Rhinolophus ferrumequinum: one gene and its partners. The protein of the gene in region 4 purifies or fractionates together with the protein of the main gene of each other region. This does not show direct contact. Links are inferred from orthologs where the notes say so. Each region holds a gene or a part of one and is shown on either strand. Other genes may lie near its edges. The genes, in order: ARL8B, VDAC1, PLEKHM1 and RAB7A.

Region 1 (7,212 bases), on a different chromosome or scaffold from region 4:
AGAATATGAATTTTATGACTGAAACTCTCTTTAAGTAAACTGCTTAATTGAAGAATGGTCCAAATGTTACATATATCAGCTTCACAAACCATTTGAGTAAATTAAATAACATGTTATTTTTTTTTTAACTTTTAAGACAGAAGATAGAGCCACAATTTGATGTTTACAAAAGTTGATTTTTCCCAAAAGAAAATTGGCTTCACCTGAAACTTTCATACCTGGGAAGTTACTTGTTGAGTTTTAATAAAAGTGACACATAGTGCTCAACACATCTGTATTTAATCTATAAAACAAACATTTTATACAAAATACAAAGAGTAGCACTATTGATTTTTTAAAAAGATAATGCTAACTTTACTGTTTTGGACACACCGTTTCTATCTAAAAATCTGCAAAAATCACCTTTAATTACTAACCTTTTCCTCATCCTCAATATATTCTATGAGAATCACAGATTAGGTTAGAGTCTGAATTTTAAAAAGTATGAAATTTAGTGGTCTCTTTTTTCCAACATCCTAGTCAACAAATAGGCAACTACAGTTCAGATTTTTTCTTAAAGGAAGCTACCCAACCTCATTAAAATTTAAAAAAAAAAAGAAAAAAGTCTCACGTTAAAATAATAGTGGAACCACTGGTTCACTTTAAATTCAATGGCTTTCCAGAAGTTTTGTTGTTAAAAGTAATCTAATGCAAAGGGAAAAAAAAGGGTGTGTGTTGCCGTGTTACTCGCTATAATCCACAGATCCAGTAATGGAGGCCACATCTGGATGTATACAGAGATTTAAAGAAGAAATGACCCCAGCTAATCCCCTTGTCAGTATTTTTCAAAACACTGCATTAAAGGAGTATACATACCCACTACAAATAGTTCCCATTTACCTAGCCCCTTCTAATGGGCAGGCACCATGCTACCAGTCACTTCACATCTGTCATTTCATTTACTCCTCAGAGCAAGTCTGTAAGAAACATACTATTATCTCCAATTAACACGCCAGAAAGGAAGGACCGAAAGAGGATAGAAGGCTGCTAAGTGGCAGAGCCAGATGGCACAGCCAGGGTGCTCATGACATGAAGCTGCACTGCTCTGAGTTCCTCAGGGATTTACCACACTTTTGTTTGTTTCCCAAGCATAACTACTTCTCTGCAACAAACGTAACTGATTGTAGCAATGCACCTATCTACACCATAAATTAATGCAGTCTTGTCAAAAGGACAGGATTTACAAGGAGACTCCAATTCTTATTTCAAAGGAATATCAGAGAATTTACAGTTAACTGAGCTCATCTGCACTCAGGCGATCTTTTCCATAACCTATAAAAATTCTAATATGGATACTGAGTCCAAAGTTCTCCCTTAATTTCAGCATTAGATACACATTCCACTCTACTACACCTGTTGAAAGGCAGTCATCTCAAGCCAAATAAAATCATACTACAAAAAGAGCCAAACAAGTAGATAAATTTTCTTTATACTTATGTGCGACATTCTTCCAATTTAGATTTCTGCTCAATCTCTTTCCCTCCAAGTCTTACTCATTCCTGTTGCTCCATCACTGCAAGGACTAAGAGTCACAAGTCACACATGTTCTCCAATAAGGGAGCTGTGTTTGAATCACGCCTGTCACCAAACCAGTTAGACAGCTAGTCTCCTAGTAAATAAGAGTCCAGCCTCATCTCCACGGTGGATGAAGCGCTGCCATCTCTCTTGAGAACAGTTCCAAAGCGGCTCAAGCCCCTACCAGCTAAGACTGAGTCACGCAGCTCCTGGGCTGTAAATAAAGACCGACGAGACTCTTTGCATGTTTTGCTCTCATTCCTTCCACAAACAAGCAAAACTTAATAACCATCCTTCCCCTCAATCACTCCTGGAGGAGCACCACGCTGTGCGCGGGTTCCCGGGGCAACGTCCCTCCCAGACGCCCCTCCCGGGCCTGGAATAAGCTCTGCTCCTGCCCAGTCCCTTCAAGTACGAGAGACCCTCACAAACGACCCGCCGCTTCCCAAGGCCGTGCGCTCTCTGCGGACGGCAGACCCGTCCAGTCCCCCGGCTTCAGCCCCGACCACGAGCCCCGGAAGGGCAGGGACCCCGAACTGCCGGGCGTGAACGCCGGGCCCGGCTGTGGACCGGCCGGAAGTCCCCCCCCCCCGCTCGGTGTCGTCCCTGTGGGAACGAGCGGGAGCCCGTCGCCGAGTTACAGGGCACAAGCCGCGCACAGAACTCAGGAAGGTCCGCACGGGGCCTGCGTCCCGAGGGGCGTCTGGGGGGAGACTGAATTCTCCCGCTTTCTCACAGGACCGACGGGCTCCGGGCAAGTCCCCGGCTGGAGTCAACCCTCGGCTGCCCCCGAGCAAACCCGAGGAACCCCAGCGCCCCAAGCGCTTCAGAACCGCGACGAGCCCCAGTTCGCCCTTCCCGAGCCCCGGCCGCGTCGACGGCACAGCCCCGGGAAGGAGACGACGACGTGGGCATAACCCTCCGGCCGCCGACCTCCGCGCCACCCCTCAGCCACCGACACGCGGGAAACTCCAAATCCTGGCCGTCGGGGAGGTCCGGGCACGGCTGCCCCCACCCCCACCCCGGGGCCCCGTCGCGCCCCAGCGGCCCCAACCCGCCCCTCGGGCCGGAGTCGCGGCCACAGCCCCGGCGGGGAGCGGGCGGTCCTCACCGCGATGACATTGACGAAGGTGGTCTTGCCCGAGTACTGCAGCCCCACGAGCGTCAGCTCCATCTCCTCCTTCCAGAAGAGCGAGCGGAACCAGTCCAGCAGGCGGGAGATGAGCGCCAGCATGATGGCGGCCGGGTCGGAGGGCGGACGCGCGGGCGGGCGGGCGGGCGGCGGCGGCGGCTTCCACACGAGCGGGCCTCGGCCCGGACCCCCTAACGGCTCCTCGGGGCCCCGGCGCGACACTGGCAGACACGGGCGGGCGGCGACAGCCGGAGCCAGGAAGCCGAGCGGGTCATATGACTCGCCCTCCCCCCACGCTCGTCCACGCGCCGCCGTCGGCGCCCACGGCAGGAGCGGCGAGGCCGGCCGGGCCAGGCTCGCCCGCCGCCTGCAGCGCCACCTGGTGGGATCTCCGCGCGGCACCGCGTACCAGCGGGCCGGCCTTGGGTGCCTTTTTTTCTACCACGCCCTCCTGCGCTCATAAATGTGTTAGTGAATTCATCATTCATTCTTTCTACAATTGTTTATTGACAGCCTACTCTATGCAGAAGGAGTTCGAGACGGGGGCGGGGAAGGGGGGCGGCGTTCAGCATAAAAATCCCTGCCCTACATTTTTGGTGATAGCCAAAGATGGAAAGCCAGGTGTTTAGCAATAGGGAGCTGATTAAATCAAGTATAGTATGTCAACGAGGCTGGTCTCTGATTTATAAACCGATTTGTAATGAAGTCCAGGAAATTCTTTCAAGAAACATATATGTAAAGTGCAGACTATGTATATAATGATATTTTTGGTGTAAGTTGGGAAAATAAGAATGTATATGTAAATATATGCAAATGTGTGTACTGGAAGACTAATAAAAATGTTTTCCTATGGGGGTCGAGGAACCTGTATAGCTGGAGGCAGGAATGGGAATGAGACTCCTCTAGATATCTTTTTATATCATTTTGACTTGCAACCATGTAAATGAGTTGCCTGTTCAAAAGTTTCATTTAATTGAAAAGTAAACAAAAACATCTGCAAGGTTTTCAGATTTAAAAAAAATCTCTGCCCTCATGGAGCTCACATTCTAGTGAGGAGACATGTAATATTTCCATATATATATATATATATAGTAGTACTGAACTTTATAAAGAGAACCAAACAATAGGACACAGGAGTGTCTTCTGCTCTAGTTAGGGTCAGAGTAGACCTCTGGGAGGGAGTGGTCCTGGTTTGGGAAGAAGTGAGAAAGAGTGTCAGGTGCACGCCTGGTGGAATCACCTTCCAGACTGAAGGAACAGCAAAGACCCTGAGGGGGAAGGAGCATGGGATGCTCTAGAAATAGAAGTACAGCAGTGTGGTTGGCTCAGATTAATAAGGCAGGGCGTGGGCAGGATGTGGATGAAGAAAGAGGCAGGCACCGAATCAAGGAGGGCATAGTGGCCCTAGATTGATTTTATCCATGCTGTGCTGGGAAGCCAGGAGATTGAACCAATTTATATTTTTAAAAGTTCGCTCTGGCAGCTCCATGGAATACGCTAGGAAGCTTTGAGGTTTGAACTGTGTTCCCCCAAAAGAGATGGAGTCCTAACCCCAGGATCTTGTTTGGAAATTGGGCAATTGCTATCAGTTATGGTCATACTGGAGTAGGGTGGGTCCTTAGTCCACTGGTGTCCTTATAAGAGGAGAAGAGACCCAGACATGAGGGGAGAAGGCCATGTGGCAACAGAGGCAGAGATGGAAGTATTGCAGGTGCCAGCAAACCACCGGGAGCTGGGACAAGGCATAGAACAGACTCTCTCACAGTCTCAAAAAAATCAACCTTGCCGACACCTTGGTCTTGGACTTCTAGCCTCCAGAACCCTAGACAATAAATGTCTGTGGGTTTTTTTGTTTTTAGCTTTAAGTTTTTTGTTTTGTTTTGTTTTGTTTTTAAACAGTCTGGTCCCTGATGGCCTCTCCGCTGCCCCTCCCCAGCTTGGCTACAGTTCTGAACGTCGCTCGATTTTGAGCAGTTCCACCTCGAACACCAGGGTTGCACCACCTGGAATCGTTGGGGGGGCTCCCCGCTCTCCATACCCCAGCTCTGATGGGATCACCAGCTTCCGCTTTTCCCCCTCACACATCCCCAGCAGCCCCCGGTCCCAGCCCTTGATGACCTGGCCCGTGCCCAGGGAGAAGACAAAGGGCTGTTTCTGGGGCAGGCTGCTGTCAAACTCCTTCCCATCTTCCAGCTTCCCCGTGTAGTGCATGTGCAGGACATCCCCCTTGCGCGATTTGATCGCTTCTTGACCCCGATCTGCAGCTTCCTTTTGTCCTCGGCCCCCGCGGCTGTCGCCAGGGCGCTCAGGCAGATGGACAGTACTGTCAGGACCCAGTTCAGCCTCATGTCCCTCCTCACCGTGCCCCCGGAGTCAACCCAGTCGTGCTTGTCTGTGGTTTTAAGCCACCCACTTGTGGTCCTTTGTTACGGCAGCTCTAGCAAATTCATACAGAGGGAATGAGCAGAGACAGTGATAGGTGAGGAGGCTATTGTATCGCTTTAAAGGATGATGGAATCTGGGACCTCGACTTTGTAAGCACTTCGACAATTAATGAGTAAACAACTAAACGAGCTAAGTGCAAAGTGAGAAATGGAATATTCCTCAGCCTTTACACTCACTGTAATTGCCTTCACCTCTAAAATCATTAGTTAATGGAAAGTGACTTCTCACCTCCAGATTCTAGTTTCCCACTTTAAAAACTTTAAAATTTATTTTTTTATCATAAAAGCACGCAATATGATGGTTGTAGAAATTCAAACAGGACAGAGGTGTGATAAGAAAAAGGTCATCCATCTCTTGGCACCCTCAATATTCATCTCTGAAGTAACCCATTTTAATAGTTTACTCTTTTTTGATCAAATAAACACATGCACATACATGGGGTGGGGAATTTTTGCATATATACCAAAATAAGAATATGTTGTAGGAATTATTCTACAGCTTCCTTCTTTACTTAACTTGTAAAGATGTTTTATTAAAGGCAATACTCAAAACTCCTCATTTTCTCGTGATTTTACTACTAATTTTGCTGTATGACGGCTGTGCAAGAAAGATAAAATTTCATGGCATCGGAGCTGGACGCATCCTGGAAGACCATTCTCATTTAGCTATCAGAAAACTGAGGCCCAGAGAAGGAAATATCCCAATTAGGAACCTGATTTTAAGTGTAATCTCCTTAAGGACAGGGGCCATTTCTACTTGGCAATAAACTTATTTTGAGTAAACGAGTCGGTCAGTCTGGGGATCCTGAAATCTCACCTCGTAGGCACTTGTTTTGCTAGCTTCATTTTTGGACAAGGAATAAAATGGGTGTGACACATTCCGTAAGTTCCCACTGGCCTGATTATCAGCCTCCTAGCATCTTAAAATGCCAGCACCTGGGCCTTACCCACGAGACACTTCTGCATTTTGGCCAAGTCAGTCACGGGGCCGGAATTTTTCATTAGCCATGGATGTCACTCCAGGTCATACAGATGACCCGCCCACATCTGCAAGGGGCAGAATGTCAGTTCTGTCTTTTGGAAGGAGAGTGTTGGCCTCAGGAAAAGAGAAGCAAGGCTAGTTAGGGAGTTCTCTTTAGAAGGAACATGCCTCTTTATTCTAAAACTGAGATAGTCAATCCCATTTTTTTAAAAAAAATTAAGGACTTTTAAGAAAAATTTAAGAAACTAAACATTCTTTTGAAGGTAGAAAACAAATATTAACTGCAGTGTGTGGGAGTGTCAAGAGCACTGCCAGGAAGGAAAACCCTTATCTTGAATAAAAAGTTCATATCCTGGCTTTAAAAATGAAATAGCTGTGTGATCCTGGGCAAGTCACTTCCCCTCTCTGGGCTTTGGTTTCCCTATCTAGAAAATAAGGGTTTGGATAAGATAAAATTTAAGAACCTCTTATCTCTGGGGGAATCAAAGCCACAACCTTGGTGTTAAGAACCTCTTATCTCTGAAATCTTATGATTTCATAGCAGCTTGACTGAAATGTTCAGGAGTGGATTCCAGCATGGGAAAGGAAATCATTCTCTTTTTGAATAGCCTTTTTTTTTTTTTAGGGGAGTTTAAGTTTTATGGGAAAGTAAGCAGATATAACCCTCTTTCCCTCTCACAGCTTCTCAAATTATCTTTGTTCCATTTGTTCCAATTCATGAACCAACATTGCTACGTTATTATTAACTAAAGGCTACAGTTTACGTTACTGTTTATTTTTGTGTTGTACATGCTATGGGTTTGGACAAGTGCATGATGTCATGTATCTACCCTTACTGTATCATACAGAATAGGCCATACAGCAGGCCTTAAAAATCCCCTGGGTTCTGACTATTCATCCCCGAGATAACTTTTTCACCTTCAATAGTCCATGATTTTATATATTTAAAAGAAACAAAGAAACATCGAATGACTGACACACACACACACACACACACACACACACACACACACACACAACCTAAGAGTCATCAGTGGAGCTCAGAAACATCCACATGGCCATTTGACAGTGGAGAAAAGTGTCTAAAGGCTGTTTGTTTG
Region 2 (7,236 bases), on a different chromosome or scaffold from region 4:
CCTGAACCCCAGCTCCACTGCTGCTGAGCTGTGTGACCTTGGATGCTTACCTCACCTCTCTGTGCTCAAGCCTTCTGAACCATGAAATGGAAGCAACAGTCACTCTCTCCCAGGGCTCGTACGATGATGGATTCAATGTCACAGAACATATGTCAAGCCCCCAGGAGGGTGCTGAGCGTGCATTCAATAAACAGTGACTGTGATGATGATGACACTTTCATACTGGAGAAACTGAGGCACAGGACAGTGACTAGATCTGTACTAGACCCTACGGCTGTGTTGCAAGCTCCATCTGCTCTCCAGGACTCTTTCCAGTACAGTCTGGGTAAAGCGCTTAGATTCCCACTCACCCTCACCCTCCTGAGAGCAAGCAGGAAATGGGAGCATTGTGCCCAGGCCCAGCTGAGGACCCCACTGCTCACCTTTCTTCAGGGGCTACCAGACGAGTCACAGGCCCTGTGAGCCCTGAGGGGCTGCTTGCAGGCTTGCTGGCCCTCAGCCACACACATACCTCTCAGTCTCTACCATCAAAGCTATCACACTGTGAGAGCAACGCCATCCAGGGCACCGTGGACTTCAGCACCTAGGGGGCATCTGACCAGGGAAGGTGGGGGTGAATGTGCCTTGTCAACACCAACTACGCAGTGGTCGTCCACATCCGCCTAGAGTCCCGCCGGACCAGAAGCTCACGGGCCCCGTGAGCCCATGTCTGTGTCTATCAAGAGCCCTGCCTATCGCTTTAGAAGAGCAGAAATAAAACTAATCAACTGAGAGCAGCCCCTGGCCCCAGGGTCAAGCACTTCATTCAGGTCAACTCCAGCAGAAGCCCGTGGCCCATTCACCGTACGAGGGACGAGTTGACAGCCCAAGGCCTTTAGGAGCATCCCAGCCACCCGTGTCACCCGCCCTGCAAACCCAGAAACACTAGTTCAACAAGTTTCCCACAGGACTTGGAAAGTCACAGAATGAAGGTAACGCCTTTGAAGGAGTTATTTCAAATGAGGGAAGTTTCGCCTCTCACTGCTCTAGGGCTGTATAAACCCTGGCAACCTGACTATGTGTGACTCTCTGCTAGGCAAGGCTACTTCCTGGAAGTGAGTGAGATGCATGTGTCCCTCCAAAAGGATGTCCAGGATCAAGGCGCTATGGTCTGGTCCTGCAGTCGCTCCACACGCCCATTCAATAACTCCACAAATCCTTAATGAGCAACTACTATAAGCCACATGTTGGAACAGCAAAAGCTATGTTGTCCATAAGCTTGAGTCAACTCCTAGATAAAAAGCAAAGTGCATGTACCCCACAGACCCTTCTTAAGTACCTACTGTGTGCCAGGTAGCACCACAGGCACCAAAAACAAAGCCACATAGGGCTTATGCCTGAGGGTGTAGAAACTCAGTCTACAGCTAAGGTGGACAGAAAGAAGGTAGGCCCTGGGCAGTCTACCTTGGCCTTGCCAACAGCATATTAGGCAAAGGAGCCCATTTCCCCATCTCCTCTGGAGAGGGTAGTCAAGAGGATAGGGGCCTCAGGTGGAACAGGCCTACCTCTGCACCCACATTCGACTTCCAGTTCCACCTGGATCCTGTCTGTAAACTTCAGGGATTTTTCATGAATTATCATGAAAGTTACTCAATGCCTAGCACACAAATGCTTAATATTACCTAATATGTAAAATATCAGGGGCAGTGTTTTTTGAATCTTTTCCAGAACACCACGTGGAGCAAACCAGTCTCCCCAAAAAGGCTTGTCAAGGCTTCTACCGAGGCTTTCTCCTTGCCAGGCACTGTTCTGAAGGCTTCTTGTCCATCAACTCATTTTATTCCCAAAAACCCAACGAAGGAGAGGTATAATTGCTCCCAACCTATAGATGGGAAAACTGAGGTGTGGTATCCTCCCAGCTGTGTGACCTTGGACAAGTCACTTGGGCTGCGGGCCTCAAATCGAAAGCGGTGAACCAGTTTCGAGAATGCACCGCCTCATTTGGGTAATGAATGAGCGCCGGAACCAGGAACCCCTGCTTAGGCCGAGAGACCGGCCACATCGCTCCGCGGGGCCTCCTTTTCCTAGGCCTAACCTTCTGCCCAGGGCCCAGCCCCAGACCCCGCGGCCTAAGTCAATTCTCCGCCTCCCGTTCCGCCCCGAAGGCGCTGGCACGCGCGGACAGTGTCCGGCGCCAGCTTCTCCGGGCGTAGGCCGGACAGGGCGTGAGGGACTGGGGGCGCCGGGCCATGGTCGCCACGGTCGCCCCGCGGCAACAGCGCGACCTGCATACGTCCGTGGGCCCGGCCCCGCGAGCTTGGGTAACAAACAGGTCCCTGCCCGACCCGCGCTTGGCGGCATCGAGGGCCAGAGGGCGCCGCCGGGAAAGGTCACCTAGACCTGCAGCCGGCCGGGCCTCCACGCGGCGGCCCGTGTCCCTCCGCCCTAAGTCCCCGCGGGCTCTGGCCCCAAGCCGCAGGCACCTCCGGATGCCCGGCCTCTCGCTCCCCAACCCCGGCCCGCTCGCCACCCGCCCGCGCGGCCTGCTCTGCAGCCACTGACCCGCCAGGCCCGCGGGCCGCTCCCGCTCCCTCCCCGGCCCTCGCCGGTCCGTCCCCCATCTCCTCCCCGACTCCCCAGGGACGAGGCGCACAGCCCGGGGCGCAGGCAGAGCCAGGGCCCTTCGGCTGCGCCTACCTCGGAGGCGGTGGCGATGGGCTCGGCGGCGGCCGCGGAGGGGGCTGCAGCGCTGGGAACTGGGAGAGCAGCGGGGCCGAGGGCGGAGCGGCGCGGACGGCGGCGGCGCGGACCCGCCCCGACCCTGCGCGTCCCGCCCGGCGAGCTCCGCCCCGGGGCCCGCCCCGGACACCACCCAGGCCCACGCCGGGTCCCGGTCCGGGTCCTGAGCCCCGCACGCACCTTTCTGCGCCCCTCAGTGCCCGCTGCGGACGCCAGAGCCCACGGGCGTGCGCGGGCTTGCGTGAGGGCCCGCGTGCGCCCGGGCCCGGGGCGGCGGGGCTGACGTGCGCGCGGTGTGTGCGTGCGCAGGAACACGCGTGCCGGCCGCCGGCGCCCGCCAGTCTCTGCTGGAAATCCCGCCGGGTTGACGCATCCGGGATGGGGGGGCGGGGGGCTGTTCCGGTTAACGGAGCGTCGGCCAGGGATCCTCTGAGCTAACGCAGACACGCGGGGTCCTGGACCTCGTGCTCGGCCTTGCGTTTGGGAGACAACCCCTCTCCCCCAGGAGCTGATGTGGCTGGCGGGTGGCGCTGGACCCGGACCCAGCCTGGGTGGACGAGGTGACCGCGGGTACCCCAGAGCAAAGCCAGCGCGGGGCTTTAAATCGGGCTCCCAGGCCCCGATTGGGGATCAGGCGCCCGGGCAGCGCAGATACAGAGTAGCGGCCACGACTGTTACTTCTTCGCTCCCGACACATTGTTTCCGGCGCCGCGGACCCTTCTCTACGCCGGGCCCGGCTCGTAGAGCCCTGCGGTGCCAGGGGGCAGCGCCCAGAAAACCCCTGTGCGCCAAGTTTGCAGTCCAAATTAGCAGTTTTCCCCGGTAGCGAAGCTGCTAGCAGTCATTTTCGGAGCGTTTGAGAAGTGAAAAAAGCAAATTGCGTTTTGCAAGAACATCTGCTGGGTCTCATGGTGCTCGGGAGGTACCACAGGTTACAACCAGCCCATGGCCTCTTGGGGAACCCGGAACCGCGTCCACCCGGGCCCTGCCTCCTCGCTGAGCTCGGATAAAGCGCCTAGAGTCACCCCGCTAGGCCTACGCGGGTGGTCTCCATCACCACTGAGTGTCAACGGCATCCCACGCGAGGGCCATCCCAAGCCGACTTCCCCAAGCCGCCTTCAAGAATTAAGGAATTCGTGGCGTGAAGATTCTGCACAGCCTTCGCCTTCAGCCAATTTTCTTCAAGTCTTGAGGCGTCTAGGGCCCCGTACTCCGGACTACAGAGAGAACACTCGCTCACAACCAGCTGTGGCACAAGTTAAAGGAGTAGGCACGCTTCTGGGGCGTCCCAAGAAGCAATCAGACCGGCTGCTGGAAAGAGTCGGCAAACTTAAATGAGCAAGTGGCAACTGGTGTTCCAATGGAGGCAGCTGTTGAAGAAGGGAGCTTAAGAGGGGGAAGGGGTGCTGACAGGGGGCCCTGGGCTCTGTAGGGGGCTCAGGTCTGATTGAACATGTGAGGAGTTGCCCCTGAACCCCTCGAGGCCCTGGAGAGTAGAGGACCTATGCTAGAACTCTCCCCAGGACCATAAGGTTCTCCATGGCTGACTGGGAACTCAGGGCTTCCCAACCTGGCTGTCCCCACCCCACACACAAAGGCCCCAGCCCACTTTTGGACAGGGTCAGGCAGGGAAAGTCACAAAGTCACCCACAAGTGCAATGAGGCAGTTTGGGAGGACAGGCCTCGGGAAGTAGGGCAGGACCAGGTGGTTCTGTCGAGAGAGGGGATTCTGGAAATCTCACATGATCTAGGAGCAGGTGCCACACCTTGGGTCAGGGAAGCCCAAATGTGCTGCTTAGACCAAATGTCCAAGCTGCTCCCTCCCCTCTACCAGCACCTCCCTGCCAATCCCCCTTCCAGGACCCGCAACCTGAGGAGAGTTCCCCATGCCCCACCTGCTCTGGGTCCCTTCTGGGACTCCCCTACCTGCCGCTTTCAGATTAATCACCTGAGCACCCTTTGGGTCACTTACTGGCTGTGTGACCCTGCACTGTGGGCCTAACCTCTCAGCTTCAACTTCAGGGGGTTGTTGTGAGTTTAAAATGGATTATGTAACAAGTAAGCACTCAGAAAACGGTGAAGAAATCAACTGGGACATAGAAGCCCTCAGACCCTAGTGTTGACCTCTCACCACTGTAGTCCTGAGGGAAGAGCTGAGCCAAGGCAATTTGTCATACCAGGCTTACCGACCCCAGCCCCACCTCCACTCTGGCTGCCACTGCTGATTGGGCCAGGGATGGACACCTGACCTGAGACCAGCCAATCAGGTCCTCTCTCGTAAATTTGAAGTAAGAAACCCAGGTAAGGTGTAACAGTTTTTCTTTGGAGGAATGACCTTTCTCCTCTCAGTACACAATCCTCATGCAGCTGACTCCAGGGCCATTCTTGAGGTAGCCCTGTGACTCACCCTGGCCAATCAATACACTGTACTCCCCTGGCCACAGGGATGGACCAGTGAGACCCAGTCAGACTTCCTGGGGCTATTGAGGTAAATACTTTAAAAATGAACTCGGCCCACAAAAGAGAGACACCAGGTCCTGGGGACAACATGTCCTGGACCTAGCCAGGCCTCACACCACCCTCTGTGCTATCTGGGCTGACAAATTCCTTTTTACTTAGTCCTGTTTGGATTAGGTTTTCTTCCAGGTCCTACCTAATTCAGTTCCACTCCTCCCTTCAACATCCAGAGAAGATGAGATTTTTCTTTTTAATGCTGGAATGGTTGACTGGTGTAAGAATATTTCATTCTAGGGAAATTCTTATATCTAGCTTACAGGCATAACGTTTCTACTATATAGGTATATAGATATTTACAAAGAACCTATGTTGAAACACTTTCCACACTTCTTTTCAGGGCCAGATGTACCTCAATAAGATTTCTTAATACCGTCTTTGCCAAGTAATCAGAACAGAAAGATAAGGTCTATGAAAGTAGAAATGGAAGATGTAATATATATAATTTTTAAAGAGAAAAATATTCTGCTTGTAACCAGCATGAATGAATTAGAATATAAAACTGAATTGTCATAAAACCTAACCTTTCTAACCATATTCCAGACTATAGTCTAGGTAGGAGCTAGGCTTGAGGATGTGTGGTCAAGAATCTCAGGGTGTACTCTCCACATTGTGCCCTGACACTCATCTTCCAGGGAAGGACCTAGCCTGGCCTCCAGGTTCTGACTGACATGGAGAGCAGTAGTCAGCTGGGAAAACAGGATGAAAACCATCCCAAGATGAGCATAATAAAAATATTTCTCTTGCGTACCCCAAAATATGAGGTGTCCTAGATCTAAAATAGTTCCAAGGAGTTCTAATATCATATCCATGTTTTTACAGAGAGAGAGAGAGAAAAGTGGAAAGAAATGCATTAAGTGTTAGAGAAAATTGTGTTTCAATTTAGGAGACTATGATTTTTTTCCTTTGGCCCTTTCTATATTTCCCATTCTATTAATGATACAATACCTTTACTATAAAAAGAGAGAAATTTTTAAGAAAGCCAAACGAGGTTGATCAGGAGAGGCTGTGTAAACTGACACAATCCTGGAAAGCACTTAGGTGACATGTAATAAGAATCAAAACCTAAAACCTACTCCCTCTGACTGTTTCTGGGAACCTATGCTATGGCAATAATCCCAGCCTAGCTTCAGGCAGATGTATAGCAGCCCAGAATGGAACATAGCCTGGTTTCCAGCTTCAGCAAACTGAAGCACATCCCCTCTATAGATTCAGAGCCTTGAGGAAAGAAGGTTACAAAGACTTCCTGTGGGGAAATATTTCTGTTACAATGCTAACTGAGGGCAACCATATATTTAGTATTAATGCAACCACAACATTAAAAATGAGAGAGACAAACCATGGTAGACAGAATAATGACTTCCCATAGATACCCATGTCCTAATCACCCAAACTTATAAATATGTTACTTTGCATGTCAAAAGGAACTTAATAAATGTGATTATATGAAGGATCTTTTTTTTTTTTTTTAAGATTTTATTGAGGAAGGGGAACAGGACTTTATTGGGGAACAGTGTGTACTTCCAGGACTTTTTCCAAGTCAAGTTGCCGTCCCCTCAATCTTAGTTGTGGAGGGTGCCGTTCAGCTTCAAGTTGTTGTCCTTTCAGTCTTAGTTGTGGAGGGCGCAGCTCAGCTCCAGTTCCACTTGCCGTTGTTAGTTGCAGGGGGAGCAGCCCACCATCCCTTGCGGGAGTCGAAGAGTCAAACCGGCAACCCTGTGGTTGAGAGGATGCACTCCAACCCACTGAGTCATCCGGGAGCTCAGCGGCAGCTCAGCTCAAGGTGCTGTGTTCAATCTTAGTTGCAGGGGGCTCTGCCCACCATCCCTTGCGGGAGTCGAGGAGTTGAACTGGCAACCTTGTGGTTGAGAACCCCCTGGCCCATGTGGGAATCGAACCAGCAGCCTTCCGCGTTAGGAGCACAGAGCTCCAACCACCTGAGCCACGGGACTGGCCCCCTGTGTAAAGGATCTTGAAATGGAGAAATTAACCTGGATTGTCCAG
Region 3 (7,999 bases), on a different chromosome or scaffold from region 4:
CCCACTTCCAAGGTGGCTCACTGGCACGGCTGTCCAGGTGGTGCCCGTTGTTGGAGGGCGGCCTCAGTTCCTCCCCATATGGACCTGTCCACATGCTACTTGACTGAATGTCTTCACAACACAATGCTGGCCTTCCTCCAGAGGGAGCCATCTAAGAGACAGACACAGAGACACAAGTTACCCTTTTTGTGACCTAGCTCAGAAGCTACACAGCATCACTTCCGCTACACAACATGAATAGTTACCATAGCAGTCAGTCACTAAATCTAGCTCTCATGCAAGGGGAGGGGATTCAGGCCCCACCTTTTGAAGAAAAAAGAGTCAAAGAACTTGTGGACATATTTTAAAACCGCCACAGACAGGAAAAAAGAAACCACTCTAGATTATGTCCAGCAAAAAAATATATATATATTTTAAGATTTTATAGGTGCTTATCGTCGGAGGAACTAAGGTGCTGAAAGTTGGGGGTGGGCCAATTGCACCACTACCTTCGGGTTCCTTTGCCATAGCTGCTTTCCACAGATTCAAAGTCGCTGCTGCCACTCAGCAATCAGGAAACTTTGGGAAACCACTGCTGAGGCGATTGCAATGCCAAGGCTGCTGACAGGTGGGGAATGTGGAGTCCGATATGCAGCCTGCATGTCTGCTGCTACAGACCAGAAAAGGATGACTTCCACCTCCTTTCCACCTTCCAAGTTTCACACAAGTACTTTGCTTTGGCAGAACCCTGCTGTCAAGGGAATCTGTGAAATGTGCTTCCCGGCCATCTAGCATCTGCAGAGAAGGGGGAAGGAATGGGTGTCAAGAGCCAACCGACACTAGCCAGCATACCTCCATACACAGGTATGGTGAGGAGACGCACCTGTACTTGAAGGGGTCCTGGCGCCCTACTCCTTTTTTTGTAGGCTTATAGGTGTCCATGGCTTGGTAAAAGGTGGGTGGTGTCTACATGGAGTAACATGGTGGCGAGCTGGCTAAGTTGGAGACTTGGAAAGGTGTCATTCTAGCTGGGCAGCAGGTGAGATACTGAATGCTGACGGAATACAGCCATCTCCAGAGATGACCAGAGAAACACCTGGAGTTGATCCTTAGTTTGGTCTCTGGAATGTTCTCACTGAAGTGAAACAGTGGGTGGGCTGCAGGCAATATAGTGAGGGAGAAAATACAGCCCCCATTCAAAAGGGCTGCCAGAGAAAAGGTATCCATAGATAAATAGAATTTCTGAAGATGTGGTCTATGGACCTCAATACTCAACCATCCCTGGGATGCATATTGAAAAGGCTGATTTGGGGAAGGAAAGAAAGAAGGGAGGGAAGGAGAAAAGGCTAATCTTGGACACCTCCCCTTGTCAAAAAACAAACAAAGCCAGACACTACTTAAAGCGGTAAGGACAGATTTCAATCAGTCATGTACTACTGCACTAGTACAGGGGAAAGAGCCCATCGTGAATTTTGTACTCTAAAGGAAAATCACTTAAAGAGAGCCGCTAATGAATGCCACCGTCACCACTGAAATGCAGGCCTATGGGTGGAAAGTGTATTCGAGGGTAGTGATTCATGGTAAGTTGTTTCTTCCAGGCCCTAAAAGGGACTATTTAATGTCCAGCTAACCGGGCTTATTTTACTAGAAGACTGGGTCTTCTATAAGACTGGGTCTTCTATTAATTTTTGCTCCAAAAGATGCATTAGAGCTGATGTTTGGCTAGGTCTTACTTTTGGGGAAACAGGGTAGTTTTCCCAATTAATAGATAAAGGAAACTGAGAGGGTGGGAGGGGGAGAATAACTTGTGCAAGTTGACAAATTCCATATATTAGTCACCGCTCTTTATGTTCCAAGTGAAATATATCCAAGCAAAATATGCTTAAACCAAAAATGGCAGACAGTATATATCGTCTCATATAATATAACCAGGAAGCCTAAGACTTTAAAACTGGCTGCATCCAGGACTCAAACAACGGTATCCTCTTCCCATCTGTCCCTCGACTCTGCTTTCCTTTGTGATGGCTTCAGCGTCTGGAGGACTCATACCCCTTGGCTGCAAAGATGGTCATTAATAATTCCTATTCTACACCACTAACTGGAGAGCAAATCTCTTATTAGAGGAAAGCCCAGTTCTCAAAAGCTCTCTGATTGGCTTGCTTGGCCCATGTGTCTGAGGAAAGAAGACTCTGACTGGGCAGCCATAGTCACGTGCACATGCAGGGGTAGGGCCTCAAACCAGTACTTTCTTCCCATTTAATCACAGGTTGCAGAGGAGGCTGACCAAAAGTCAAGAGGGAGTTTCTATAACAAGCAGAGAAGGGATTGAGATGGCGAGTGGAGGATCAGAGACTGAAGATAGTTTGAACTAACGCTTAAGCCTAAACTCTTAACAGGTTTTCACAAGTTCATAGATGCTATTGTAAGTAAAATTCATTTCAAAGCGGTTGTGCCTTCATGGTAATTTTTTGTCCTTATGCATTTTCCCCCCAATTAATGGATAGTAAGGTATGACTACTGTCATGAGGAGGTCCAAAGACCATTTTGTTTTTTATTATAAGAAAGGGATTCTTAACTGAGGATGTGCTCCAGAGAGAAGAGAGAAAGCAAGAAGAGAAGGGAGCCAGGAAAAGGCCCAACCCAGGAAGCAGTGAGGGGACGTTCCAGGATGGCAGCTGCGTGACAGGCTGAGGAGGTTACTAGAACACACTGGAGAACAGAACCCAGAGAGAGGGCCCTGAGGGAAAAGGGAGGAGGACTGAGGGTGTGATCATGGCACACTGTACAGAAAGACAAGGCGAGGAAATTAACAATGAATGTAACAAAGTACATTATTAAACTTAGAAGTGAGCAATATTTACATAGTCACACATCTGTAAACACTATTAACTGACTGGAAATAGTAATAGTTAACTGAACGTTAAGAATGGACTGGGGGTTGAGGTTATAAAAGGACTAAGTCCTTGCTTATGTTACTAGGAATTCAGTAGACCAAATCTAAAATGGCTAAATCGAGACCTAGAAGTGCCTGAGACATAGAGATAAGCACCAGAAGATTCAGCTAAAAGCCTCCCCCCAGAAATAACCAGCCCCAATGAGCTGGCTGGAGAGGGCAGAAGGGTTGGTGCAAGGAACTGCCGTGGATCATTGTATTTTATCACCCCGTCATTTCATGTAGTACTATTTCAACTGTGAACTATGTATCCGGTACGTTTTCTTCGTTTTTCAGTTCATTATTTGTGATTTTTTTTGTCCAGCTTTATTGAGGTATAATTGACAGTAATAAAAACTCTTAAATCCATTTTTTAAAAGAGAGCGTGAGAAGAACCAGCCTCCTACAACAGAACCCAGAAGAACACCAGCTATTCCCGCAAGGACACAGATAGTTGCACTAATACTACTTGGACAAATCCAATCAGATGCCAAGTAAGGATATATCTGGGGCTCAAACAAAAAGGATGTCACTCCAGTGCTCAGAAGAGCACTTAAAACGCAGGGACCCAACTGGATAGGGAAGGTGAGAACTGCCAGAACTGTAATAATAGCCAGTCATTTTCCAGTGCTTACTACAGACCAAAAACTGCCCTAAGGCTATTACCTTATTAAGTCCTCGTGTCAACTGATATTCTTCCCCCAACTTACAGATGAGGAACTAGGGCTCAGAGAGCTTTGGGAAGTTCCCTGCAGTCACCCACTCGAGCCCCTCTGCCTGAGGCTAATGGGCCATGTGTGGTGTGACTTGACTTCTCTTTTCTGAACATCAGTAAAATTCAATTGAGAAGTTCCATCTTAAAGGCCATCTCAAGGGACCTGTGAGAAATACACTATGATACGGTAATACCGCCTTGTGAATGTATGATCTATGGAAAGATCCCTGTAGTTTTACCTGCTGATGCTGACTGTTGGAGAATAAATTTTGGATATTTTTCCCCAAAAAAATAAAAATAAATAAATAAATAAATAAATAAAAAAAAAAAAAAAAAGAAATACACTATGACAGTTGTCTTGGCCCCTCACTTGTTGGGTTGCCCTGGGCCCCCACTGTTAGGGAAGACTCAGAAAACAGCCGGGGATAGAGCTGGGATTCAAACCTAAGCCTTCCTGGCTCCAAAGGCGTCTTGCTTTCACTGAACTATTATGCCACCTCCCCAACTAGAATCAGAAAGAGCTGGGTGAGAATCCTGCTTCTAACCATTTATTAGTTGTGTGGCCTTGAGCCCCCAAGTTACTCAACTTCTCTCAAGCCTGTTTTCTTATCTGTGCTATGGGTGCAACAATGGCACCTCCCTTCCACAGGGTTGGTAAGGACAAAGCACAGTTCCTACCTGGCAAACAGTAGGAGCTTCTGTTTTCCACGAACGGTTAAATTCCTAACCATTTGTCGCCTAGGTTAGAGCGGGGGCCCTCATATTTCACCAAGTTTTTATTTCTAATCTTCCTGCTCTGCCATCGACGGTAGTGAAGGCACTCAGCATTCATCCAGGCTAAAACCGAGAAGGGGTGGTTATCACACCTGGAGGATTTCTGAAGGGGCAACAGCCCCCACACAGTGGGGGGCCACACACCAACAGCTGATTTTATACGTGGAAACAGGCACTGGGATCCCAGAAAGGCTGATGGAGCACAGGACCCCCCGCACCCCACCCCCACGCCACCCGCGGCAGAGATCAGTGGAGCTTCCAGGAACTGGCTTGTTCCCCAGCCAGCCCTGTAGCCACCCCGGACGCCCCCCTGGACCTACATCTAGTGGACCCTAAGGGAAGCGAGCAGTGAGGACGCATTCCGTCGGACGCCAGGGGCCACGCCTCTCCGGTAACAGGTGTAACGGATGTAATGCTCGTACCCTAACGGGGTCCCGAGCCTCCGAAGACCAAGCACCTGTTCGGGCGCTGCGAAGCCTGGGCAGCGGGAGCGCTGGCCCCGCCCCAGGGTTCCTTTGGGCTCCGCGATTGGCTCCGCGGGCCGGGGCGGGGCCGGAAACTGAGCCGACGTGATGGCGTCAGGCGCCGTGGGCGCCACTTCCTGTTGTCAGTAGGCTGGAGGCCGCCGTGGAGGATTTGGTGCTGCCCTGGCCGGGAGTACCTCGACCCTGCTCCCCGCTCCCCTTGGTGAGTTTGTCGTCGGGGGCGAGGAGGGGAGGCGGGGCCGGGACGCGAACGGGCGATGGGCCAGCAGCCTTCGCCGGATCCCAAACCCGTTTGCCTTGAGACTGTCCTGCTTCAGAGTCCTCACCCTTCCCAGCCCAAGCCCCTTGCCCCCACTGCCCACTCGGTTCCTGGCCTTCGTCTCGCACTGGCACCGCTGGCCCGTCGCTACATCTTCTCCCACCCATGACCTGACTCCAGCCCTTACCCCCACCCCCTCACCACCGGTCTTGCGTAAATGCAGCCTCACCTTTGACCCCACTCTAGCCAAGTTCCAACCTCCATCGGCCACATCCCCCCGCCTCCCTCTAACTCAGCTCATCCTCACCTCCCAACCCCTTTGGCAATCCTAATGCTCCACGCAAACCTCGAGACCCACCACTGTGGTTTGCCCTTTTTTGGATCAGCTTTCTTATCCCTATCTCCCATCACCCCCTGCTCAGCTCTCCATGGCCTGCTCATTGTAGACACCCCACCTCTACCCCACTCGCATTTAAGACCCAGCCAAAGTAGATGCCCTTTGGAGCGCACTCCTTTCTTGATAACTGTGCTCACAGCCCTGTCCCAGGTCTTACAAGTATGTATCTTCTTGTCCTCACAGACTCAACTCCTAACTTCCGGCCCATCATACACTTCTTTCCATCTCGAACCCCCCGAGAACCCTCATCACGTACGTCTTGCTAAACTGCCCCCAACTTTTGCTGCCCCAGTTCCTACCACCCTTACCCAATCTTATTTAAAGTGAGGTCTTTATGTCCTTTCACCTCTGCTGTCCCCACCTCTGACTCTTCACCCCAACTCGGCACCCATTCTCCCCTGACCAGTCTGCGTCAATCTGAGAACTTAATGCAGAGTCCCCCGTCAGCCCCACCAGCTGCCCTTCAACAGCCAAATCTCGCGGTCCTTGCTCAGAGCCAGGCAGATAGAGACTGAGCAGCCTTGACTGGCACGTGCAGGGCCTCAGATGGTAAGTAAGTGTGGAGGAGCAGAGATTCCCCTTGGGGCCGGGGATTTTCCTAGGTGTCTGGTCCTTGTGCCGAACCCCAGGGATTATGGTTCTAGCATTTGTATTTAGTTACTTGTGCTGGCTGCTGGAGTGACAGGTATCTTCCAAGTGCCTGGAAGGTGAGGAACGGCCACTCCTCCAGCTCAGTGAGCCTAGCGCCACAGAAGCCATCACTTACTTTTGGCTGGTGTTCCGGCCTTGCAGAAACTCAGGGAGTACCGCCGTGTGGGTTGGCGGTGGTCCCAGAACCGTGTCCATGTGTGTTGTCCTGGCACTTGTAGAGGACTTTCAGCCAGTGCTCCCCCCGCCAGAGCTGATAACAGATTAGTCCCCAAACTGAACACGGAATCCGGTGGCTGCCAGAGATGATGTACATGTTGTAAAGAGTAGAGCTGAGTGGTCCTGGGGAGGCTGAGGCCTCGCTGTGTATGGAGGATGTTGAATAGCTTCCTCTTTTTGCAGGGTCTGGATCATTGCGTTTTGGCCACCTTGGTTTCCTGTGAACACAGGGAGCCGAGTTATCTCAGAGTAGATGAGGCAGTGGGACATTCCAGAAGCATCCTGGCCCCATGCTCAGCATTTATCATCTGGGTTTATTGGGTGCACATTTCCTCAAAGTTCTGGTGACCTGTTCAGAGGGTTGCCCATTTGACAGCAAATTTAAAGGGCTCCAAACAGGACCATTGTGTTTGCTTGCTATTTATAGTCTTGTTCCTTTGAAAATTGAATGCCCTTCTACCTCCTATATCTCCCCATTAAGGTGTGATGTAGATGAATGTTTTTCAGCCTCTTGGCAATTTGATTTAATGGAAGGAGTTCCACAATGCCCCTTTCCCCCACTGAAGAGTTGTATACTTCAACTTTCCACAGTGTGTGAACAGGAGATACCTGCCCTGAGCCTTATTTTTATTTTATTCATCAGTTCATTCAGCAGGTATTTTTTTAGCACCCACCACTGTGTGCTATGTGCACTGTTCTAGTCACTAGAAGTGCAATGGTGATGAGTCGGGCAGAGTACGTGTTTTCAGTCATTCAGAGTTTGGCCCTTGCTAGAATCCTAAGGATATTGAACAAGAATATGGGGGGAGCGGTGTGTTAATTGGATAAAAGGAAAGAAGGAAGAAAAAAAGCTACCCAGTGTTAATCGACTTCACATTTCTTGCCTCACCCACTAGCCCTTGGTCTGGGAATCAAGCTAGAAGTTTCTCACCCTCCAGCTGATATTCAATTGCTTGAAAGGCAGTTCCCCCAGAACACCCCCTCCATCCCACCCCTCACTGCTCCAGAAATCCAGTATTCTTCAGGTAGAAGGGGTGTTGTTTACTCGTTCATCAGTCACATGGCTAAAAGATCAGCTGCCTTTCTGAATCAGAGAATAACTTTGTCATTCTTTCCAACTGAAAACCATGACTCATCAGTTGGTACAGCAGCTGGACGCCTTACACACCAGGCTGTTGTTCTGAACAGCCAGGTACAGGATTGGGTTTAGGCTGTAGAGAGGAGGCTGTGGGGACTGGCTGAGAAGTGCCTAAGAAGAGGTTACTGTTTACTGATGGCTGGAGTGTTTTGAAAGCAGTGAAGCCCGGTCATCCATTTCTTCTTTTAACGTAAGTCTCATATAATCTATTTTTCTCTTTCTTCCTTGGTCTCTGGAGGAAGTGAAATCGGACATATATTTAGAATGCTGGGCAGCATAATGAAGAAAAACAACCAGAACGATTCCTTCCTGTGTATTGGAACATTTAGGAAAGGACAACTCTGAAACTTGGGTACCATGGAAAGGACCTGGGCTCTGCTACTTGGGGCTACAGATCTGATTGGCAAAATTGTTTCGTGTTTATTTTAAGCCTGAGTTGATAAAATGGAGCTT
Region 4 (7,113 bases):
ACTCCTCTCTTTACTTCCATGGAAGACTTTGCATCTGTAACTCCCAGCCCAATATCTGGTCAAATCCTTCTTAGCCATATGTGTTGAATTATATAGACGGAGAGTGAAGACAATTTATCCCAGGAATAATGGTAAACATGTCAAATTTCAGAGAGGAACAGTACATAAGATGACTGTCATAGATGTGTGGTCTGGGTTTGCTACACCTTTGCATCAGAAGGCTAACGTCTAATGTAAGGGTGAAAATATTATTAGTGCAGATCTCTTCGGAGATTTATTAAAAGCTAATCAAATAACCAAAACCTTTTTAATGCACTTGACTGTGGGGTCAGGAACTGGATTCAATGCCACACTTGACTATAAAGCAATGCCCTTTGATTATGAGGCTGGGACTTATGCCCGGTTGGCACCCAAAAAAAAAAAAAAAATTTGTACCAAGTGGTTGCTAACAAGTACCTGGAAGGATATACTAAAAAACCTGTTTTTTTGAATGCCTTCTGCTACACTCCACCCTTCTGTTTGTTTACTCATGCAGTTCTACCACAAATGCAAACTCACATCCCCTTTTAAAGAAAGGGAGCCATAACAGTTGTGGCACATAGATGGCATAAGGTTTTACCTAGGATGATACTGGTACTATGACTGATAGGCACTACGTTAAACTTTCTTCATCAGCTGAAGAAGAAAAATCCAGCATGCCAAATGTACCTTTGCACAAAGAGCATGCAACAGCTAACATTTGCAGTGTAAAATGGCAGTGACATGAACTCCCTCTTGCATGAACAAAAAATGCCACCAGACCAAAAAGAGAAATAAGTTTAGTGTCGAAGGTTACTCTTCAAAAGAATGATAGTTCAAAACGTAATATTATTTTCCATACTCTCTTCAAAAACAAACCATATAAACGTTGTTAAAAGTAACAAAGCCTTCAAGTTAGCCAGAACACCAGACTGTCTGGATAACTGCAGATTCACTTGCAGGGATGAGAAATGAGAAACAACTCCTCTTTCCAAAAGCCTCAAGTTCTACCACCATTCCACCACACAATTCCAGACCATGATCACTCACCATCTTTAAATTCCTTGAGGACAGGAAAAATGCCTTTCTCCCTGAGTCAATATCCAGCAATGCCTGATACCGTGTTTCCCCGAAAATAAGACCTAGCCGGACCATCAGCTCTTATGCTTCTTTTGGAGTAAAAACTAATACACTGGGTGGTGAACACACAATGTAATTTATACATGATGTGATATAGAATTGCACACCTGAAATCTATGTAATTTTAATAACAATTGTCACCCCAATAAATTTAAAAAAAAAAAAAATCAACACGCAAAAAAAAAAAAAAAAAAAAAAAACTAATACAAGACCCAGCATTATATATTATATTATATAAGACTCGGTATTACATATTATACCCGATCTTATTTTAGTATTAATATTAATTTAATATTAATTATTATATTAAAATAAGACCGGGTCTTATATTAATTTTTGCTCCAAAAGACCCATTAGAGCTGATGGTCTGGCTAGGTCTTATTTTCGGGGAAGAACAGTACTCTAAAAACATTTGATGAATGAATGAAAAGGTGCTCATCATTACTCTCCCCTAAAACCAAATATTATTTAAAGCTACCATACTTATCACCCACTTAAATATAACAAGCTGGGTGGCAAAGTTAAAACAAAAAGTAGAATATAATAGGGCTGCGAGTATTAAGCTTTACTCTTTGGCCAGTGTCTTCAGAAGTACTCACAATCTCACTTTCCAGTTCTTGGACTTAAACCTGAACAAATTCTCCCAAGTCTGAAAAGATAAACACACTAATAGATTTTATTGATCCATGGATGAGAAGTCATTTGACTAAATCAGTTGCTTAAGGAAGAGACAAGAGCCTGTTCTATTGAAATCTAAAGAGAAAATACAGTATTTTCAACAGGAAAGAACCAACTGGCTGGACACCTATGTACTAAAGTTTTATGAAGGTTGTTCTGAGAATTAAACATAACAACTTGTGCAAAGGTCTTGCCAGGCTGTCCAGCATACAATAAGGCTCAAATGTTTGCTATTATTGTTCTCGATTTTCCCACTTTTTGGAATCAGTATGGAGTAAGAGACGGTTGGAATTCAAACACAGCTCTACAGTCAACCACCACCTTTCCCACAATATAATTTTAAAATTTCTTTCAGCATTTGCCATTAACAAGTTTATGATAAAAAGTTCCCCGTCTCCCAGAGCCTAAGGCGTATCACATGTATACAAGTGTTTGAAGCGAGCCCAGTGCACGTGACCTGACTCACTGCCTTGATTTAGTTGCTGTCAGGAAACCTCTCTCACTAACAGGGTCAGGCTGTTCAACTGAAGAAACAGATGGGAACGTGGCTCAGCCCTGGGCGCCTTTTACCAATGCCCGCGCGGTTGGTGGCGCCTGGATCGCGTCCACCGCCAGACACGGCACCGGGGGGTCGGCTTTGACATCCTCCACTTCGCCGCTCGAACGAACTCAACCGGCTAGCTCTTTTCGCCGCAGCACAGGGTCCGCAGTGCCCAGCGGCCACCCAAGTCAGGACACCTTCCCGGGTGGCCGGTTTCGGCAACCTCTGACCTCTCCCCGGCCAGGAGCGGTCCGGGCCTGCTCCTGGGCCCTTAGCAACAAGGACATTCCCCGCGAGGTCGGGGCTGGGCCCAGAGCCTACCCAAGAAAGGGATGACGCGAAGCCCTGGCGACCGAGGGGCTGAGGAGGGGGATGGGGCTGGGCCACACGCCAGGCTGGGCCCGCTGCTTACCGCTGCCGCTCCGCTGGGGGCTCCGGGCTGGGCGCGTCACAAGGGCTCCCGCCGAGGAGACGCAAGGGAGGACAGGCGCAGAGAAGTCCAAGTTCCGGTTTGAAAGGCCTGCTCGGCGCTCTCTAAACCTCCAACGCCGCCGCAGCCGCCGCCTCAGGCTTTACGGCCAAGAATCTGACTCCGCTCCCACTTCCGCCACCGCCGCGACCCCGAGCGGAAGTACCTGTCACGAGTCGCTACACGCCAAGGGTGCGGGGGAGGAGCCCCGCCTTAACCCCGCGTCACGTTCGGCCTCCTTTGGCCTGAGCCTGGATCACGTGCTACAAATATGTCTGCCCCCGGAAGGTTGTCGCCATCTTTGAGTCTCGTGCAAGGAGCAGGACGGCGCTATGTTGAACCCCAAAACCGATGTTTCAGTCATCCCCCTTTCCCCTGGAATAAGAGTGCTAGGGGAAGAAAAGAGAGGATAAATTGAACCTTCCATTAGTGTCACTTTCCAGGAGACACTGATCAGTCAACCAAGTAGGCCTGTGTGCCGAACATTTCAGCATCAACAAAGTTTGCTCTAGGAAGGGGGTTTTCCCAGGGAGACAAGGCAGTAGTTATTTCACAAATTTACAGAGGGAGAGGAAGGGCATCCATATTTACTGAGCACCTATTGTGCACCCATACTACACCTTTGGATTGTCTCTATTTTAACCATTTTGGAAATAGAGAACTGAGACCCAGCACAGGTAACCTTGGACCTAGCTCACACTAAGCGGTAAAGCAGGGATGTGAACCAAATATGTCTGATACCAATGTGTTTGATCTTTCTAGTAAACTGGAAATGACTGCACCAATGATCTAGCAAGGTGGTAGAGACACAGGAGAATTACACATTAACAGAACACTTTCTCTTGCAGAAAAGCGAGGATTTAAGAATATAAGAATATTAATTTCATAATTTGTGGCGCAATATTTGGATTTTTACAGCTTGAGCTCTGAAGCTGCTTGCAGGGCATAACGTTGCCCTTCTGGGCTCCAGATGGGCCTGCAGAGCCAACAGCCCCCTTGTGTTGATTGTATTGTTTGATTGTACTCCTGTATCAATTGATTGTACTGCTGTAGCTATCAGATGAATAATACTCCCTGTACTATTGTCAACGTAAGAATATCCAAACCTGTAGAGAATTTTTATGAAAGTTTATTTGAGCCTAACTACATATGCCAGGGAGCAAGATCTAAAATGCTCTGGAAAATAACATTTTTGCAACTTCTTTTATGCATTTGAAATTAAGGAGGGGACGTAGGGAAGACTGCAGAAAGCATATTGAGGATTGGATTGCAGGATAGTTAACAAGATTACAAGCTCTCTTGAGAATTAATACCCCCTTTAAGGGGTATTCTTTTGGCATTAAAAGGTGTGTTAACCTAGATGCACAAGAACAATGGACAGGGCTGGCTTAAAACCTTTCAATAAAGAACATATAGGCCTGGGGTATGACTACCCCTCATGACCTGCCCAACAGGGAATTTATAATCAGATCACCCTTGAGGTTACTTTTCATAGAACCGCATTTTTCATCCATACAATGTGTGATCAAAGACACCCTTTTTGTTCTACAGGCCTGGGCTGAAACGAGGACTCGATAAATGATTAACCACATATTACCTATTGTTCTCACCTCACAACCCCACTTACTTGATCACTGAGTCAGCCAACCATTGAATGAATGTCCAGTTGCCCCCATCAATCAGAAAACATATGTAAGTTTATGGTCTTGTTTCCCCTAGAACCCATTTCTTTGATCAACAGCTTGCAACTTTTGCCTTTATAAACCCTGCCCTATCCCCTCCATTTTGGAATGTATTCTTGGTTCACATCAAGAGCTATGTTTCCTGGTTTACAAGTCATTATCTGAATAAACTAAATTTATTTGGAAAAAGGTATCTCTGGACTTTGTTTACATGAATGGTGATGAAGATGGGATTTGAAGCAGCTCCCTAATCTCCCTTTGTTGTGGAACTCACTACATTACGCTTGCCTTCAAAGCTCTTTGAGCTCAAGTTGCCTTCCCCCACTGTGGGGAAGCATGCATGGGTGAGTCCTCTCAAATCCTCCATCCCCCTATGCTTTTGGTTGAGATCTGAGAGTTTTATTCTGACAGTTTTATTCTTAAGGGAAGGACCCCTTTATAAGGCTTTTCATAGAGGGACGAGGTGCCCCCATAGGGGTCACAAGAGTCTGAGTTACCCGTAAAATATTAGATAAAAATCTTCTCAAGTTATGCTGGTAGGGACGCCTTCACATAGTAAATAATTCTAGTTCTAAAATGACCTCTGCTGGCTAGCCGCCATCCAGCAACCCTACAAGATTTATGTTAAAAAAAATTTGTCGTCCTGATAGCTGGAAATGGTTTAATCTCTGGACAACAATTACACGGGACAATTTTAAACATTTTTTGGCCAAAATGGGGTACCTTTGAAATTTCCAAATTAGCTTATTTGAGATCTCAATTCAAATGCCAAGGTTTTCAAAACCGCCAAAGAAAATGAGAGGCTTTCTTTAATTGGTATTTTGAGGCCTCAAAAGCAGAAGAAAACCATTGCCTCCCTCCAAGAAAATAATTCTAAACTTAATACCTCCAGAAATTAGAAGATAAGGCGTGTGTAAGCAACGTCCCTCCCTTACTTTCAAAATTCCTTAAACCATCTTCTCTTCAAAGCCCATCAAATGCTCCTTCAGCTGTTGCCACATATCCCTCCTTATCGCCCGATCTACATGACTTCCCCTGATGGATGATTACTCTCTATACCTAGAAATTTTAAGTAAAAGTCTGATAGGAAGTAGAAGTAGATAACCAAAAATGTAAACACAACCCTGAGCTGCCTCAACTAACCCCAAAAAAGACAGAAAAAATTGGAAAAGAAAGCTCTTTTTAAAAATACAAGTTGCTGAAAGGTTCCCTTTCCCAAGCAGACCCCTGCCCTGCCCACAGTCTCCTTAAAACTTGTTTATCAAAGAGAGATGAAAATCTTAAAGCCTTAGCCACCTGATCAATAAACTTAACTTATTCCTACTGTTATAAATTAATGGCTTTTTCTCTTTAGCCTTATAAACCTGTCTCATGGCTAAATTTTTTAGATTGAACTATCAGGTCTCTGTATGTCTCTGTCTACAGGAGGTCTGACAATTAAGTTTGCGAACTTGTTGCGATGATGTTGCTAACTTTTTTGATATCAGAGGCATTATTCATTACTAATTTGTACCAACTGGACAGTTAACCAAGTTTACTATTTGGAAGTGCTGAAACGTCTGCATGTAAAAGTTAGACAACCTGAACTTTTTGCCAACAATTCATGGCTCTTGCATCACGACAATGTACCAGCTCACACGGCACTGTCTGTGAGGGAGTTTTCAGCCAGTAAACAAATAACTGTATTGGAACACCCTCCCTACTCACCTGATCTGGCCCCTAATGACTTCTATCTTTACCCGAAGATAAAGGAAATATTGAAAGGAAGATATTTTGATGATATTCAGGACATCAAGGGTAATACAATGACAGCTCTAATGGCCATTCCAGAAAAAGGAATTCCAAAATTGCTTTGAAGGGTGGACTAGGCGCTGGCATCAGTGCATAGCTTCCCAAGGGGAGTACTTCGAAGGTGACCATAGTGATACTCAGCAATGAGGTGTGTAGCACTTTTTCTAGGATGAGTTCGCAAACTTAATTGTCAGACCTCATATATGTGTATGTATACTCATATCTACCTCTGATGAAATTATTAAAATTAGTTTATATAAGAGCTCTGTTTAAATGGCTTAAAGAAATTAAGCACTTATGTAGATTAAGAAGCATAACAGAAACTAACCCACATATTTTTCAGGATCACATGATCTGAAACTATATTTAATATTGAAACTAACTTGTTTAGTTTAATGAAAACAGACATGTCTTTAAATTTATTAACATCTAATATTTTATTTTTATCTAGGTTTATAAAAAAAGTTCATATTATCTCTGTTATAGGGTTTGTCAACAGGAAGATAGTTATAACAAGTGGCTCTGTTTAATGTCTCATAAAATTTTTATGAGTAATGTAAATATATTTTTTTGGGAATTAATAAATTAAAAGATAAAAATGATTGAATATCTAGATCTATTTCCAAGTATGATGAAACACTGAAACATTAATTGTTAAGGGAATCTAAGTTTACCTACTTTGGGCTTCTTAATACAGAAAAATAAAAATGTGTGGGTCTATTCGTAAAAAATGCCTTATACTCTATTAAGAAAATACATGATTCTAAAAAATTATAAAATATATTTACCAAAAA

Evidence for each region.
Region 1: the proteins of RAB7A (region 4) and ARL8B purify together in Homo sapiens (affinity purification with mass spectrometry; 4 studies listed by BioGRID and IntAct, with this or other methods). This does not show direct contact. The link is inferred for Rhinolophus ferrumequinum from reciprocal best matches to the Homo sapiens genes RAB7A and ARL8B.
Region 2: the proteins of RAB7A (region 4) and VDAC1 purify together in Homo sapiens (affinity purification with mass spectrometry; 3 studies listed by BioGRID and IntAct, with this or other methods). This does not show direct contact. The link is inferred for Rhinolophus ferrumequinum from reciprocal best matches to the Homo sapiens genes RAB7A and VDAC1.
Region 3: the proteins of RAB7A (region 4) and PLEKHM1 purify together in Homo sapiens (affinity purification with western blotting; 5 studies listed by BioGRID and IntAct, with this or other methods). This does not show direct contact. The link is inferred for Rhinolophus ferrumequinum from reciprocal best matches to the Homo sapiens genes RAB7A and PLEKHM1.

The regions. Positions count from the first base shown.
Region 1 is NC_046300.1:5,006,773-5,013,984, reverse strand, and holds the start of ARL8B (ADP-ribosylation factor-like protein 8B), read right to left. Parts: upstream 3,005-7,212; 5' UTR 2,789-3,004; coding exon 2,666-2,788; intron 1-2,665. UniProt on the Homo sapiens protein: Small GTPase which cycles between active GTP-bound and inactive GDP-bound states.
Region 2 is NC_046307.1:10,067,123-10,074,358, forward strand, and holds the start of VDAC1 (voltage-dependent anion-selective channel protein 1), read right to left. Parts: upstream 3,015-7,236; 5' UTR 2,899-3,014; intron 2,814-2,898; exon of another isoform or gene 2,677-2,813; intron 1-2,676. UniProt on the Homo sapiens protein: Non-selective voltage-gated ion channel that mediates the transport of anions and cations through the mitochondrion outer membrane and plasma membrane.
Region 3 is NC_046304.1:40,195,044-40,203,042, reverse strand, and holds the start of PLEKHM1 (pleckstrin homology domain-containing family M member 1), read left to right. Parts: upstream 1-4,989; 5' UTR 4,990-5,087; intron 5,088-7,603; exon of another isoform or gene 7,604-7,736; intron 7,737-7,999. UniProt on the Homo sapiens protein: Acts as a multivalent adapter protein that regulates Rab7-dependent and HOPS complex-dependent fusion events in the endolysosomal system and couples autophagic and the endocytic trafficking pathways.
Region 4 is NC_046302.1:580,162-587,274, forward strand, and holds the start of RAB7A (ras-related protein Rab-7a), read right to left. Parts: upstream 3,015-7,113; 5' UTR 2,790-3,014; intron 1-2,789.